Linked DNA regions of Saccharomyces cerevisiae S288C. The gene in region 1 interacts genetically with each later gene. Each region holds a gene or a part of one and is shown in the gene's direction. Other genes may lie near its edges.

Region 1 (8,656 bases):
TTAATTTTTAATTAGGATCGCGAGAAAGAGAAAAACAAAACTAACTTATGATGGAACGTATCGAGAGGAGGTGAATATATATATATAAAATGACTAGGCTAGAAGATTCAGAGCTTCATGTATTGTCGTAGTTTTTTTGGTTTGACTTTTTTAATCAAATTTCAAATTTCAGTAAATAATTGGTTGGATATTACTATGCAAAATGCAACCGTATTTTAAAATAAAATTAAAAGAATCCAACTCATACAATGAAATGTTTTTTATATTAAACGTGCTTTTTTTTATTATTTTTTGTTCTTATTTTCCGGCTTTCGGAAGATGTAGAGTGGTCCGGTATATTAATGCTTGAACTAGGAAAAACTATGGATGGGGCGGCTCTTCATTCATGACAGTATCTGGAATTGAAATTGTGAATAAGTAAATCTTCAATTTCATTATCTGATTCTTCTTGAATTGCAGGGCCTGTACGATACCTTAAATTCTGATTCACACTCGGATTCGATAACGTAGTTTGGCCTTGCTCTTGCCAAATGTTAGATGAAGACGAAGAGACTGGAGAATAGGCATTAATGTTGGAGTTATTATAGCTATAGTTGATGTACGAAGAAGAAGACGAAGGGGGAGAAAAGAATTCAGTATATAGGGCCTCTGGACTTTTCTGAGGCGAATACATTAGGTATTGCGAGGAAAAGTAGTTTGCATTCGAAGCAGAGTGAGAGAATTCCGTTTGTGCAGACAGAGGAGGAGACGTGTAGGTAGAGAAAGAAGCTGATCTAGCATGGGATAAGTAGTTGTTTTGTGAAGGGGGAGTGATGTCAATAGGTTCTTTACTGTTCATCTTGAACCCATTTGGCAGCACATGAGCATTAACACACTTGTTACCGAATTTACAGTTACCCTTTGCGAAATACTTGCAAGGTAAATTATTCGCAGAACTGATAATATCTGGGGAATGGGAAAAGGGACAAGACGAGCCAGCTTGGCAATTGCCCATCTTAAAAAATTTGCATGGCACGTGTGAATAGTCCTTCTGCTGTTGAGAATTGTTCTTCGTTATCAGTAAATGTTCCATGATAATTTTTTGTTGACGTGATGAGAAAGGCAGTTGATTGCCGACAGTACAATTTTTTGACAAATTTACATTTGCATTGCTGTCATTGAAAGACCTTGGAATATTCTGGAAATCCTGAATTTGCGATGCAAGCATTTCGTTTGCTGATTGGGAGTTTCTTCTTGCGTTACCGCCCGGATGATTTGATACAGACATATTCTCAAAAGCATCCATTTTGTTTTAGCAAATAATAGTTTTAAGATTTATAATAATAATAATAATAGTAATAGTAATAGTAGTAGTTATGATAGTGTTAGATAATAAAATCGAGATTTTGTAGAAACAAGGGGAAGCCGAAAAAGAAGAAATTATAATTACTCTAATATGACGGCACAAGAGAAAAGGGAAAAGAGTAACTGCTAAGAGATTCTGTTTTTATAATGCCCGGAGTAAAAGAAGCTTTGAGATTAAAAGATCACCACCATATTTTGTAATAATTTACTTTAGATTGAGATATAGGGGAAGAACTACACGAAGCACCGAAATCCAAAACTTAAAAATTACAAGATAAGCACGAAAATACATAATACAAATAAAAAATGATAAAGGCAGAATTATACTGTGGTACCTTGAAGATAAGAATACCGTACCACAACATGTTAATCTCCACATCATTTTATTACTAGCACTGCCACACCGTGCACCCCATACAGGATGTTGTCTGCACCTTTTCTTCCTATCATCTTTTTTATCCCACATCATACTGTGGCGGGCCTGTAGTAGAGCTCCCTTTCACCTTGGCGTTTTAAGGGGCGGGGCAAGAGTGGCGGGGAATTCCGCCGTTCCGAATTGAAAAAAAAGACACTTTGTACGGGCCATTACCCTGTGAAGTTCTTTTTTTTCTCTTATTTTCATCAGAGAGAATGAATCAACTGCGATGAAAGGAAAGAACACCACATTTATTACGAGGCAGAAGAGGTGACCAAAAAACCGCAGTAAAGTATGAGCGGATACACGGGAAATAATTATAGCAGATACTCATCCACTCCTCCGAGACAAAGGGGGGGTTATCACCATGCGAGACGAAGTAGAGGTGGAGCAGGCGGATCGTATTACAGAGGCGGTAATGCGTCTTATGGCGCGAGATACAACAGTGACTATGAGCAGCCGCCCCAAGAGGGAGACTTGAGACAAACCGGAGCATACTATCGAAACGGATACACAGATACAAGGCCGTACTATTCAGCTAATAGCAGGCATTACCAAGCACAACCATCCCCCAGGTACAACAATGGTACAAATTCGTACCACCTACCGCAACGTGGCAATAGTCAAGATACGAACGGCAGGACCACGAGCGCCTCGCAAGAAGATAATGACGAAAAAAGAGTCAAGTCCAGATACCGGAACATGCAGGCAGATCATCCACGCCAACAACCGATGAGCGTTGGCAGCACCAGCAGCAGAAATGGTAGTAGTGGGAACAGCAGCACTAGCAGCACCAGCAACGGGCTTCCGCCACCACCTTCAGTATCGTCTATAACCAACAATAGATCATATCACAGCAGTGCTTATCCATATTCCAGCAGCCATACTTACAATAATTACCACCACCGTGAGACACCACCGCCTCCCCCATCGAATGGCTATTATGCAAAGGGTTACCCAGTACACGTACCAGAAAATAGAAGTAACAGCGACGGCTCTAGCAGCAGCGTCGTCAAGAAGAAAAGAATACTAGATATGAAAGATTCCCCCTTTATTTACTTGACAGATTTTGATAAAAATGTGAAAAAGACAAACAACACCGAAAGTGAATGTGAAAAGGCGAGGGAAGTTTTCAAAGAGAGCGATTCCATCGATTCCGCTTTGGAAGAACTAAACCTAAAAATCAATTCTAATGAGCTAGAATTGCGGCTCCTAAATAACCAGTGCGACAAGCATGCATTAAATATTCAACTGACCCAAGAAAAGCTGGACTCATTGTTATTAATGCAGTAGGGTATACCGTACCTATAAATAGATAAACTACGTAAACGCAAGCGGCGGAAATTGAAAAAGGAAATTATAAGGAAGTGACTAGCGTTTTGATTTCATGAATCGAGAAAAGGTACTGCTAGGTTAAGCCCGATTAGGTAAAGAGCCAGGAAAGCGACTAGGAAAGCGACTACGAAAAAAGAAAAAACTGCGAAACTGTGAAAGTGCGTGTCAGCCATCTGTCTTTGGAATCGATTATCTATTTGCTTTGATCCCCTTTATGAAGAACGCAGCATTGTGTGAGGCTCTTCCTCTGCTCGCCACGTGCTCCCACGAAATCCCACCCACACCACACACGGTCTGTTTCGTCTTCCCCCCCGCATTATTACTATCCCCGAGCAAACTCACACTTTTGAATTCGCGTCGCGTCGCGTCGCGCTGCGTCATTATCATTGACCCACGCTTGCTGCGTCTCTTCTCTTGCTCCCGGCCACAACAACTCCCCCGGGATAAAAACCAATCTTTTGCTAAGCCATCTTTTTCTTTTTTTTTCTTTCTTCTTACCTCGTTATTATCGCCTTTCTAAACTTCCTTGGCCAAGCCTTTCAGCGGTGCTTTTTTGTTCTCACGTCCACTGCCAATTTCCACATTTTTTTCCCCTCTTGTTATATATAAACTTTTCTACTTGGAAAAAATGGTTAGAGGAGTGAAGACACAGGGAGGAGGCTTACGCAGATATTTTACGTTTTCTGCTTTTTCTTTTCTAATATAGTTAAATAAAAGGTGCCAACATTCCCGTCATATTTTGCTTCGCATGTTTTGTTTTCTTTAACCTGTTGTAATATTCATCATCGGATTCAAATAAACACATACAAACAAACAATAAATCGGAAGACACTTTTCATTTTCGCATATTTGCTTTACTCTATTTTTCTGATTTTCCGCTGTTGCACTCACGATGAGAAAAGAATTAAAATACCTTATCTGCTTCAACATACTCCTCCTGTTATCTATAATATACTACACTTTCGATTTGCTAACGTTGTGTATTGACGATACTGTTAAAGATGCTATACTTGAGGAAGACTTAAATCCAGATGCACCTCCAAAGCCTCAACTAATACCTAAAATCATACATCAGACTTATAAAACGGAAGACATCCCTGAGCACTGGAAAGAGGGTAGACAAAAATGTCTCGATCTACATCCAGATTACAAGTACATCCTATGGACGGACGAGATGGCCTATGAGTTTATAAAGGAAGAATACCCGTGGTTTCTCGATACTTTTGAGAACTACAAATACCCCATAGAACGTGCCGATGCCATTCGTTACTTTATCCTGTCCCATTATGGTGGTGTATACATCGATTTAGATGACGGCTGCGAAAGGAAACTAGATCCTTTGTTAGCTTTCCCGGCCTTCTTAAGAAAGACTTCACCTTTAGGTGTCTCAAACGATGTCATGGGTTCTGTGCCTAGACATCCCTTCTTTTTAAAGGCTTTAAAGTCTTTGAAACACTATGACAAGTACTGGTTTATCCCTTACATGACTATTATGGGGTCTACTGGTCCGTTGTTTTTAAGTGTTATTTGGAAGCAGTACAAAAGATGGCGCATACCTAAGAACGGGACAGTAAGAATCCTACAACCTGCTTACTACAAGATGCATAGTTATTCATTTTTCTCCATTACTAAAGGCTCTTCATGGCATTTAGATGATGCAAAATTGATGAAAGCACTAGAAAACCACATCTTATCCTGCGTCGTTACCGGATTTATTTTTGGCTTCTTTATCCTATATGGTGAATTCACGTTCTATTGCTGGTTGTGTTCCAAGAATTTCAGTAATCTAACCAAAAATTGGAAACTTAATGCTATAAAAGTAAGATTTGTCACAATTCTAAATTCATTAGGCTTAAGACTAAAGTTGAGTAAAAGTACCAGTGATACTGCCAGTGCCACTTTGCTGGCAAGGCAGCAGAAACGATTGAGGAAAGATTCCAATACAAACATAGTGTTACTAAAATCTTCAAGGAAAAGTGATGTTTACGATTTAGAAAAGAATGATTCTTCTAAGTACTCACTGGGAAATAACAGCTCGTAAGAGAATGGTATGACTCCAACAATTCATATCAGACTTTATATTTCAATTCGCGGCAAAAAAAGCAAAAGAAATGGGAAGGAAAATTGCATGGGATGAAAAAAAAATACAAAATTGATACAAATCTCTAGCAGCCTGAAGACCAGTCTTGTACTTCGCTACTTTGCAAGACAAGGAGTACTATTTGCTCGCTTCTTACGACATACTACTCCGCTTGGCACGCCTGTCTACCTTGCTTTTTTTGCTCGTCATTTTTTTTTTTCGCATGCTCCCTATTTCATGTTACAATTTACGACCTCCAGCATCAACATAATCATTCTTCAAACCAGGCCTGTTTTATTACTGTGATATTACCCTCTATACTACGATATCTTTGTTTTGCATTTTACATTCAACTTTTATATATATATATATAAATATAACCTAAAAGAATATGAACACTTCCTCACAACAAAAACTAGGATAACAACCGTGTGTGGGCGCCGCTCCGGTCAATGCGTGCGTGCTTTTGCGCGCGCCTTATGCTCAGAAACATCGCAACGGAGTAAGAATGTTCTCTTTTCCCTATTGCACAGACTAATTTAGAAATGTAATTACTCGACTAGTAGCCGCTCGAAGAGTGCCATTTACTTTTCCGCGTTTCGGTTTCGGCTTTCAATTGTTTAGTTTAGACTTTCAGGCGCCTGACTACGATTTACCTCATCAGGACTTTCGCGCCGAAAATAGACCTTATATTATTCTGACGATAGTGGCCTCTAAACCAAAGATGGATTGTTTACCAGCCGGCAGGACTCTGTTGATTTGTTTCACCTGTGATGGTGGACGGTTCTTAAAATTCAGGCACCTGTTAATAATATAATTGTGCAAATGCGCGCTTTTTTCGCCGCTCACGGTTCCTAACCTGGTCCCTTACCAACCGGTCCCTTGGTCATTTTACCGCATCCATCTCACAGGGTAACCAAAACCCTTCCTCAGGGCAGCTTGGCAATGGTGCATCTTTCTTTTTATGGCTCATCAGACTGACACCCTGCATCCGTTAAGAGCCGATTCGCCGGAATTTCTCGATTTTTTTCCGTAAAGTGTTTGGGATCTGCTACTTTTTCGATCTTTCGGCTATGGCTCATACAAAACATACACTACAGCCGGTTTTTCTTCACTATTCTTTAGCCACGTCCACCGCAGGGATTCGGTATCACATTTTCTCGACGGTTCTTATGATTATTTCTTACCTTTTAGGCAATTCTATCCTGAATGAAATGTTAATCATATAAATATATCAACAAATCCAATTTTATTAACAACCATGGTACAAGGTAGTTCTCTTTTTGGGGTTCTCTTTATCATATAAAGAAAAGACTAAGAACGATAATAGTATAACAATAGGATAATCTGAAAAATAAACGGGAACGTTAAACAGTTTTATTCTTCAATCAATATATTCTTCTGCTTTTTTTCTCTCTGTTTTCCCAGTTACTAATTTTCACTTAAAAAAAAGGTTTACAGATTTATTGTTATTGTTCTTATTAATAAAAAAATGTCTTCGACTGACGAACATATTGAGAAAGACATTTCGTCGAGATCGAACCATGACGATGATTATGCTAATTCGGTACAATCCTACGCTGCCTCCGAAGGCCAAGTTGATAATGAGGATTTGGCAGCCACTTCTCAGCTATCCCGTCACCTTTCAAACATTCTTTCCAATGAAGAAGGTATTGAAAGGTTGGAGTCTATGGCGAGAGTCATTTCACATAAGACAAAGAAGGAAATGGACTCTTTTGAAATTAATGACTTAGATTTTGATTTGCGCTCACTATTACATTATTTGAGGTCTCGTCAATTGGAACAGGGAATTGAACCTGGTGATTCTGGTATTGCCTTTAAAAACCTAACAGCAGTCGGTGTTGATGCCTCTGCTGCATATGGGCCTAGTGTTGAAGAGATGTTTAGAAATATTGCTAGTATACCGGCACATCTCATAAGTAAATTTACCAAGAAATCTGATGTCCCATTAAGGAATATTATTCAAAATTGTACGGGTGTCGTTGAATCTGGTGAAATGTTATTTGTCGTCGGTAGGCCAGGTGCAGGTTGCTCCACTTTCCTAAAGTGTCTATCTGGTGAAACTTCAGAATTAGTTGATGTACAAGGTGAATTCTCCTATGATGGTCTGGACCAAAGCGAAATGATGTCTAAGTATAAAGGTTACGTTATTTACTGTCCCGAGCTTGATTTCCATTTCCCAAAAATTACTGTGAAGGAAACAATCGATTTTGCCCTAAAATGTAAGACTCCTCGTGTTAGAATTGACAAAATGACGAGAAAGCAATACGTTGATAACATCAGAGATATGTGGTGTACCGTTTTTGGTTTAAGACACACATATGCCACCAAAGTCGGTAACGATTTCGTAAGAGGTGTTTCTGGTGGTGAACGTAAGCGTGTTTCCTTGGTTGAAGCTCAGGCAATGAATGCCTCCATCTACTCTTGGGATAACGCCACAAGAGGTTTGGATGCCTCTACTGCTTTAGAGTTTGCCCAAGCCATTAGAACGGCTACAAATATGGTAAACAACTCTGCTATTGTTGCTATTTACCAAGCTGGTGAAAATATTTATGAATTATTTGATAAAACTACTGTTCTATATAACGGTAGACAGATTTACTTCGGTCCTGCTGATAAAGCTGTTGGATATTTCCAAAGAATGGGTTGGGTTAAACCAAACAGAATGACCTCTGCGGAATTTTTAACATCCGTCACGGTCGATTTTGAAAATAGGACATTGGATATTAAACCTGGCTATGAAGATAAAGTTCCAAAATCTAGTTCAGAGTTTGAGGAATACTGGTTGAACTCTGAGGATTATCAGGAACTTTTAAGAACTTATGATGATTATCAAAGTAGACACCCTGTTAATGAAACGAGAGATAGACTGGATGTGGCCAAGAAGCAAAGACTGCAACAAGGCCAAAGAGAAAATTCTCAATATGTTGTCAATTATTGGACACAAGTTTATTATTGTATGATTCGTGGTTTTCAAAGGGTTAAGGGTGATTCAACGTATACTAAGGTCTACTTAAGTTCTTTTTTGATCAAAGCTTTGATTATCGGTTCTATGTTCCACAAAATTGATGACAAAAGTCAATCCACCACGGCAGGTGCTTATTCTCGTGGTGGTATGTTATTCTATGTTTTATTGTTCGCTTCTGTTACTTCCTTGGCCGAAATTGGTAACTCTTTTTCTAGTAGACCTGTTATTGTCAAACACAAATCATATTCCATGTACCATTTGTCTGCGGAATCGTTACAAGAGATTATCACTGAGTTCCCTACTAAATTTGTCGCTATTGTGATACTATGTTTGATTACTTACTGGATTCCATTTATGAAATATGAAGCTGGTGCTTTCTTCCAGTATATTTTATATCTACTGACTGTGCAACAATGTACTTCTTTCATTTTCAAGTTTGTTGCTACTATGAGTAAATCTGGTGTGGATGCCCATGCCGTCGGTGGTTTATGGG
Region 2 (4,426 bases), on another chromosome or scaffold:
AAAAAAATTTTTTGTTACCTCTCCTTTCTCGATGTTCTACTAGTTGTGGTTACTCTTCTGTGCCGCAATTATGTTATTTTAGTAGGACTGTATTTTTTTTTTTTCTTTTGTTGTCGCTTTTCTTATATATCTATATAACTATTTATTTGGGCTGTAGAGAACTTTCTCAGGAAATATAAACTAGGAGACATTCGTGTAAGCAATGAACCATATACGCCACGGTTAAATTTCAGACGTGCATAAAGTTGATGATTCCTGTCAAGTTAACGACTCATTTTGTACGGTAGACGGGAAAAATACATTTCCTACAATATTCTCTTTTCCGATATTCAGATACTAAAGGAAAAAGTGAAAGTAAGGCTATATGATGAAATGTAGAGGAAACGGAAAGAGGAGATCCTGTGAGGAATAAATAGAGAAACAGCGACGGAAAAATCGATATTTCAGGGCAAAAGCATGAAGGTAAACCATTCAATTTCAAGATTCCGCCCCGCTTCATGGTTCGAAAAGACAAAGATAATCCCACCCCAGGTATACATCTTTAGGAACCTAGAGTATGGACAAGTACTATATTCTCAATTTCCCAACTTTTCGCAAACACAGGTGGATAAGCTGTTTGTGAGACCAAACTGGAGCAACAGAAAGCCATCATTGAGAAGGGACATCTGGAAATGTATGTGTGTAGTGAACTTGCAAAACTATAAGCAGAGTGTCCATCTATACCAGAACCTCTGCCGGTTGAGATACCTCCGTGATGTGGCACAGCGTAAGGAGAGTGACAAGCTAAGAAAAAAGGACTCTAACGGGCACGTCTGGTATAGCGGACAGTATAGACCTACATATTGTCAAGAGGCAGTGGCAGACTTGCGGGAGTCCTTGTTGAAGGTGTTTGAGAATGCCACACCAGCAGAAAAGCAGACAGTACCCGCCAAAAAACCGTCCATATACTGGGAGGACCCATGGAGGATGGGTGACAAGGACAAACATTGGAATTACGATGTGTTCAATGCTCTGGGGCTGGAACACAAGCTTATTCAGCGTGTGGGGAACATTGCGAGGGAAGAAAGCGTTATTCTGAAGGAACTAGCTAAGCTCGAATCACATCCTACAGAGCAGACGGAAGTGTCTTCCCAGTAGAACGCTTCGTCATTAGATATACAAATGCAGGTAGAAAAAAAAACATATATAAGCTCATGTAAATAGTGCAATGCAAACCTTTCTGCCAAATCCCGTTCCACGGAAAAACACGTGCTGTGCGGGTATCCGCAAAAAGAAGATAGGTCAAAACAGGAATACACAGGGCTAGTCTTTATTACTGCCGCTGCTGCTGCTGCCGCTGCTACTGCTGCTGTTGTGTGACTTGAAACGCGTTTTATCCTCCTCACCTTATCGTCATTTCTCTATCTTTTTCACTTGCACAGCTTAATAAGCTTTTCGACCTCCTGTTTCCTATTGTCTTATTCCCTCACCCCGCGTCCTTCTTCGGGCAGTCGCGCTTTTCTCCGGCTTCTGCGGTTTTTCTTAGTCTTTCCGCACCAATTTTCACAGAAAAATTTCTTTTTGGGTTACTAAAAATTTCTTGTTTGCTATTGTCTTGATTTATTTCACTCTTTCTTCATCCTGCTGCGCTGTTGTTGCCGCATTTTTCGTTTCGTGTTTTGGGATTATAAAAGAAGTAACGATTTACATATCTTCTATTCCCTTGCATTTACTCCGGGTCTTCGTCTTTACTGTTTGGTCTGGGTATTTCTAACATTCTAGTCCGAAGAGGGTGTATACGAAAAGAAAATATACGATGAACGTAACATCGAATGCAACTGCAGCCGGTTCCTTTCCACTAGCATTTGGTCTCAAGACCTCATTTGGGTTTATGCACTATGCCAAGGCCCCTGCCATTAATTTACGCCCCAAGGAATCCTTGCTGCCGGAAATGAGTGATGGTGTGCTGGCCTTGGTTGCGCCGGTTGTTGCCTACTGGGCGTTGTCTGGTATATTCCATGTAATAGACACTTTCCATCTGGCTGAGAAGTACAGAATTCATCCGAGCGAAGAGGTTGCCAAGAGGAACAAGGCGTCGAGAATGCATGTTTTCCTTGAAGTGATTCTACAACATATCATACAGACCATTGTTGGCCTTATCTTTATGCACTTCGAGCCGATCTACATGACTGGGTTTGAAGAAAATGCCATGTGGAAGCTTCGTGCAGACCTTCCTCGGATTATTCCAGATGCCGCTATTTATTACGGCTATATGTACGGAATGTCCGCTTTGAAGATCTTTGCAGGCTTTTTATTCGTTGATACATGGCAATACTTTTTGCATAGATTGATGCATATGAATAAGACCTTATACAAATGGTTCCACTCTGTTCATCATGAACTATACGTGCCATATGCTTACGGTGCTCTTTTCAACAATCCTGTTGAGGGCTTCTTGTTAGATACTTTGGGAACCGGTATTGCCATGACGTTAACTCATTTGACTCACAGAGAGCAAATCATTCTTTTTACCTTTGCCACCATGAAGACTGTCGATGACCACTGTGGGTATGCTTTGCCACTTGACCCATTCCAATGGCTTTTCCCTAATAACGCTGTCTATCACGATATCCACCACCAGCAATTTGGTATCAAGACGAACTTTGCTCAACCATTTTTCACTTTCTGGGACAATTTGTTCCAAACTAACTTTAAAGGGTTTGAAGAATATCAAAAGAAGCAAAGACGTGTCACCATCGACAAGTACAAAGAGTTTTTGCAAGAGAGAGAATTGGAAAAGAAGGAGAAACTCAAAAACTTCAAAGCTATGAATGCTGCTGAAAATGAAGTAAAGAAAGAGAAATAACCCTTTTGCATACCTCCCGTTCAATTGCTGGGTAAAGGCAATGTCTCCGACTTCCCACGTTTGTATTTATTATCCATTTATATACATCAAGACATATTATTAAGTGTATAGGCGTGACTTTGACTATATATTTGATTTGTAACGAAAGAATACATCAAAATTCAACTATGAAATGGTTATTATTGTGCATGCACATCTTGAATTATCAAAAAGGTCTTAAATGTTCTTCGGACTTTCTTGAAATCTTCGAAAACTGATGAGAATTCTTCATTATTTTTTTTTTTCTTCTTTTATTATTTTTTATGTTTATTCCATATATACACTTATAATTTTTTTTTTTGCGATTAATATAAGTTTGCCTGGATACACGAACATATATATGATTAAAATGGTTGTCTCGAACAAAAAAATTCACTTTTTAGAGGGGTTTCTTATTTATTCGTATATGTACGTAATTTTGATGTTTAGGAAAAATTCACGGAAAAGAATATATATTTGAACAGAATCAAAAATTAGGAGGGAGGCAAAGAAAGTAACATCAAACGAGTTGAGCATATCCAACTATATTATTAACGTTAAATGCTGTCCTCTAAGACCTTATTCAGTTTTTGAATCTTTGTAGAAATGCTTAAGTCAACAGTCTTGTCACCAAGTTCTACAATCAAACCACCCTTAATCTCTGGCTTAACCACGTTTTCCAGCTTCAAAGATTTACCTTGCCCCACCAATTTGGAGGCGCTCAAAGCTTTTTCAATCCTCTTGAAAGATTTAGGATCCAATGGTTCAGCACTAGTCACTGTACCTTTAAGTAACCCGTTGTGAGCATCGTTTAAAACGCCAAAGTCAGACGCAATTTTTTCAAAACATCCCAGTCTGTTATTTTCGGAAAGAACCTTCAATAGGTTAACGACATAACCATCCAAATTCTTGTGAGTCTCCACGATGGCATCAATGACAGAATTTCTGTCCTTCAATGACAATGCAGGATTCAGTAATAAGTGACCTAATTTTGGATTCTTTTTGACTGTGCTTTCAACTTTTTGCAAAGATTGAAAGGCAGCATCAATAGAGGAGTTCTTTGCAGCGGCCTGATATAAAGCTGTTGCGTAAGTGCCCTCAACACCGAACAATCTCACCGGTGGGGGAGCAGCAGCTTTGGAAGCAGCAGCTCTTAAGCTTGATGCAAATGACCTGGTAAAGACTCTATTAAACATGATTGTCCACGGTTTAAAAATAATGCGGTAACTTGCTAATCGGTTCTTACTCTGCGGAAAAATATCTCAATGCCACAGTAGCCTGCTTAAATTTCCAAGTTGACTGAATTTTGTTTTCAATGAGATAAAAACTAGAAATACTGTACACAAAGTTAACAATTGGCGTTTGAAATTGTTCCTAGATAATTGAAAGTTTTACTATCTCGCCAAAAGATCACTTCATTATCTTTAATTCCTTGTTTTTCCCACCCGGGCCCGGGTAAATGATATTTCAAATATCAGCATCTTATTGGCCAGCACCGTCTCTCGAAAGTGTCCACTTTATGACGACGGCATAAAATATAACGATTTATTGGACGTAAGTAGT
Region 3 (4,122 bases), on another chromosome or scaffold:
TCCCTGAGATCTTGCTATAGGTTCATTTTATATATCGTCCAATAGCAATAACAATACAACAGAAACTACTAGCATCTGTTTATAAGAAAAAGGCAAATAGTCGACAGCTAACACAGATATAACTAAACAACCACAAAACAACTCATATACAAACAAATAATATGTCTGACAAGGAACAAACGAGCGGAAACACAGATTTGGAGAATGCACCAGCAGGATACTATAGTTCCCATGATAACGACGTTAATGGCGTTGCAGAAGATGAACGTCCATCTCATGATTCGTTGGGCAAGATTTACACTGGAGGTGATAACAATGAATATATCTATATTGGGCGTCAAAAGTTTTTGAAGAGCGACTTATACCAAGCCTTTGGTGGTACCTTGAATCCAGGGTTAGCTCCTGCTCCAGTGCACAAATTTGCTAATCCTGCGCCCTTAGGTCTTTCAGCCTTCGCGTTGACGACATTTGTGCTGTCCATGTTCAATGCGAGAGCGCAAGGGATCACTGTTCCTAATGTTGTCGTCGGTTGTGCTATGTTTTATGGTGGTTTGGTGCAATTGATTGCTGGTATTTGGGAGATAGCTTTGGAAAATACTTTTGGTGGTACCGCATTATGTTCTTACGGTGGGTTTTGGTTGAGTTTCGCTGCAATTTACATTCCTTGGTTTGGTATCTTGGAAGCTTACGAAGACAATGAATCTGATTTGAATAATGCTTTAGGATTTTATTTGTTGGGGTGGGCCATCTTTACGTTTGGTTTAACCGTTTGTACCATGAAATCCACTGTTATGTTCTTTTTGTTGTTCTTCTTACTAGCATTAACTTTCCTACTGTTGTCTATTGGTCACTTTGCTAATAGACTTGGTGTCACAAGAGCTGGTGGTGTCCTGGGAGTTGTTGTTGCTTTCATTGCTTGGTACAACGCATATGCAGGTGTTGCTACAAAGCAGAATTCATATGTACTGGCTCGTCCATTCCCATTACCATCTACTGAAAGGGTAATCTTTTAAGAGCACGACCTACTAATAACGAGAACTATTGAAATAAAAAAGAGTAGTTTTTTATTTTTCAATTTTTTAATATGATAATTATTTTATGACTTATATAACCACACCAACTAATCGTACTTTTATATGTTTAAATAGAATGGCTGTTTCAGTCGTACACTATTAATAACATTATGTTACTTCGCAATTAAATGTTTTTCAAAGCTAAAACTTCAAAACAAGATATAAACAATGTACAAAAATGATTACGAAAATATAGATGATGTAAGCAAGGTACGGTTATAAACAGTTAACATATAAGTTTACTTCACTTTTTTGCTGACTCCTTTACTTGTCTTCCCTGCACTTTGATTTTACTTCAGAAAAAATAAGATATATGTTTCTGATAAAACTTTTAGGTTAGCGGAGAAGATGTTGCCACGAATATCATGTAATTGAAAGGCAACGAAAGGTCTATCGTTTGCCATTCATAATGTGATTCGACTTGTCTTTTTCATTGTAACAGACATGAAACGTTTCCTTTACGTCCCTATGAATTTTTGTTGGCTGAACTGGGCGCTGCAGGGGCTGGACGATCCAAATGCGCGGATTTTGAACAATTATGAGAATCCGAATTAAAAGAAAGGGAAAACAAATTTAATAACAGGCAGACGTGAGAGAAGAAAAGGAAACGCTGTGATATAGAAAACTATACAAATCCTATTATAAGAAGCCAGAAGAAAGCTGATACAAGATGAGTTGGGAAGGTTTTAAGAAAGCTATCAACAGAGCTGGTCACAGTGTGATAATTAAGAATGTCGACAAGACCATTGATAAAGAGTATGACATGGAAGAACGTCGTTATAAAGTTCTTCAAAGAGCAGGTGAGGCATTACAAAAGGAAGCCAAAGGTTTCTTGGACTCATTGAGAGCTGTGACAGCATCACAGACTACCATTGCCGAGGTCATCTCTAACCTCTATGACGATTCAAAATATGTTGCTGGTGGTGGTTACAACGTTGGTAACTATTATTTGCAATGTGTTCAAGATTTTGATAGCGAAACTGTTAAGCAATTAGACGGGCCCTTAAGAGAAACCGTACTAGATCCAATAACAAAGTTTTCGACGTATTTCAAAGAAATTGAGGAGGCCATAAAAAAGAGAGACCATAAGAAACAAGACTTCGATGCTGCGAAGGCAAAAGTTCGTAGATTAGTGGACAAACCTGCTAAAGATGCCTCTAAACTGCCAAGGGCTGAAAAAGAATTGAGCTTAGCTAAAGATATTTTCGAAAATCTTAATAACCAATTGAAAACTGAACTACCACAGTTAGTTTCATTAAGAGTACCTTACTTTGACCCAAGTTTTGAAGCTTTAATCAAGATTCAGCTAAGGTTCTGTACTGATGGTTACACTCGTTTAGCGCAGATTCAACAATATTTGGACCAACAATCAAGAGACGACTATGCCAATGGGTTATTAGACACTAAAATCGAAGAACTATTAGGACAAATGACAAGCCTAGATATTTGTGCGCTCGGGATAAAATAAATTAATGCTTTTGCCTTTAGTTTTTTACGGTCATTTATGTTTCTTTCATTTAAATTAACAGACCTAAATAGCACTATAATTTACTATCTGCTCTATCTGACCAACCGACTCTTTTTAAGAAAGCAATTAAAAAGCGATAATAACCGCGGGCATGTGTTTTTGTTAACATGAACACAATAAACGTAAGAATGTCTAGCAATAAATTCAAAATTATTATCTTTTTTTTTTTTATTGTTATGTACTATTTTTTTTTTTAAATAAGGTTACAATTCTTTTTTAATTAATGGGATTTACCAATTTGAACGTGATCCGTAATCAGCCAAACGGGATATAAAAGTAGAACAATAGAAGCGAGGAATAAGATACGAATGCCGGATAACAAAGCATTCCTTAGTGTACTAGATTAAGTAAAAAATACCGAATTGTTCCAAAATATCGTGATATTTGAAAGTGAAGTACTCGTTTATTTCAATGCGCGCCCATTATGGCAGCATTTTATCTCCCTTCCCCATTCACTGTTCAAAATTTGTTTCCCGTTAATTCTTCTGTACGGAACGGGATCTAACATCGAATATATAACATTCCTACACCTGGCTCTTTTTAAACTTTCGATTGGCTCATAGCCTCCCTTTTCCTTACGTCCTTTTAAATAATTCATATAAAATGGATCGTCTTTTTCAGCAGAACTCCACAATTGTCTACCAGTTCTCATTGCCATATAAATGACACCACATGCCCATATATCTACGGGTCTTGGATCAAACTCTTCTTTGATATATTCCTCTGGGGCGATGTACGGCGATGAACCGCAAACGCCTCCACTAAGGTGAATATTTTTTTCCCATGCCATCTTGAAACATTCGCTGTTACCAAAGTCTGTAATTTTTAGCACACCATCGTGCGTAAGCAGTAAGTTCTCAGGCTTCAAATCTCTATGACAAACACCCATTTCATGCATATAAACAACACCTCTAATAAGCTGCTTGAAGAAACAATCTGCTTCCATATATTCTAATTTTCCGGCGGCAACGACCAAAGTGAATAGATCGCCACCTGCACAATATTCCATTACTTCACAGTACTCGCCTTTGGCATCTTGGAAAAGATCTAGTGTAGTAACAATATTTGTATGGTGTAATGAAGAAGAAATGCAAAATTCAGAAGTCAACCTCTTAGAATACTTTTCTGCTGATTCGGATGTTCTACGCTTGAACTCTTTCACTGCATAAAGCTTTTCACTTTTATTACCATCTTGAGAAGAAACATTTTTCTTTTGACATATTCTTACTACACCAAAAGCACCTTTACCAAGGACTTCTTGACAGCGACCATACTTTTCGGCAAAACATTGCCTATCTTTTTTAGTAGTAGTGATATTATGCGTATTATTTTTGGAATCTTTTTGATCTGACCTGTATATATCCCTTTCAGGACAATTTAAAGCGCCACTTGTGGGAGCGCCTTCTGGATATTTATCATCCATATCCACGACCTGCTTCATGAAGCCTGCAAAAAGAGTAGGAGGATTCTTGTTGGATTTTAAAGTCGTCTTTGGATCCATTATTATATCAGGGACAGCAG

The links.
Region 2: of SUR1 (region 1) and SUR2, a mutation in one rescues a mutant of the other (synthetic rescue), as found in Saccharomyces cerevisiae (7 studies listed by BioGRID, with this or other methods).
Region 3: mutations in SUR1 (region 1) and RVS161 together harm fitness less than expected from each alone (positive genetic interaction), as found in Saccharomyces cerevisiae (5 studies listed by BioGRID, with this or other methods).

What each region holds. Positions count from the first base shown.
Region 1 is NC_001148.4:448,388-457,043, reverse strand, and holds SUR1 (mannosylinositol phosphorylceramide synthase catalytic subunit SUR1), read left to right. Parts: upstream 1-3,986; coding exon 3,987-5,135; downstream 5,136-8,656. Other genes in the region: LEE1 (Lee1p), read right to left, coding at 380-1,285; LGE1 (Lge1p), read left to right, coding at 2,054-3,052; LCL1 (Lcl1p), read left to right, coding at 3,309-3,614; ATP-binding cassette multidrug transporter PDR12, read left to right, coding at 6,667-8,656. UniProt on the Saccharomyces cerevisiae protein: Involved in the synthesis of mannosyl phosphorylinositol ceramide. Catalyzes the addition of mannosyl to phosphorylinositol ceramide. Suppressor of RVS161 mutation.
Region 2 is NC_001136.10:1,054,756-1,059,181, forward strand, and holds SUR2 (sphingosine hydroxylase), read left to right. Parts: upstream 1-1,795; coding exon 1,796-2,845; downstream 2,846-4,426. Other genes in the region: mitochondrial 54S ribosomal protein mL67 MHR1, read left to right, coding at 457-1,137; ATP5 (F1F0 ATP synthase subunit 5), read right to left, coding at 3,421-4,059. UniProt on the Saccharomyces cerevisiae protein: Required for hydroxylation of C-4 in the sphingoid moiety of ceramide. Catalyzes the conversion of sphinganine to phytosphingosine in sphingolipid biosynthesis. Involved in the response to syringomycin.
Region 3 is NC_001135.5:129,164-133,285, reverse strand, and holds RVS161 (amphiphysin-like protein RVS161), read left to right. Parts: upstream 1-1,743; coding exon 1,744-2,541; downstream 2,542-4,122. Other genes in the region: ADY2 (Ady2p), read left to right, coding at 162-1,013; serine/threonine protein kinase SAT4, read right to left, coding at 3,005-4,122. UniProt on the Saccharomyces cerevisiae protein: Component of a cytoskeletal structure that is required for the formation of endocytic vesicles at the plasma membrane level.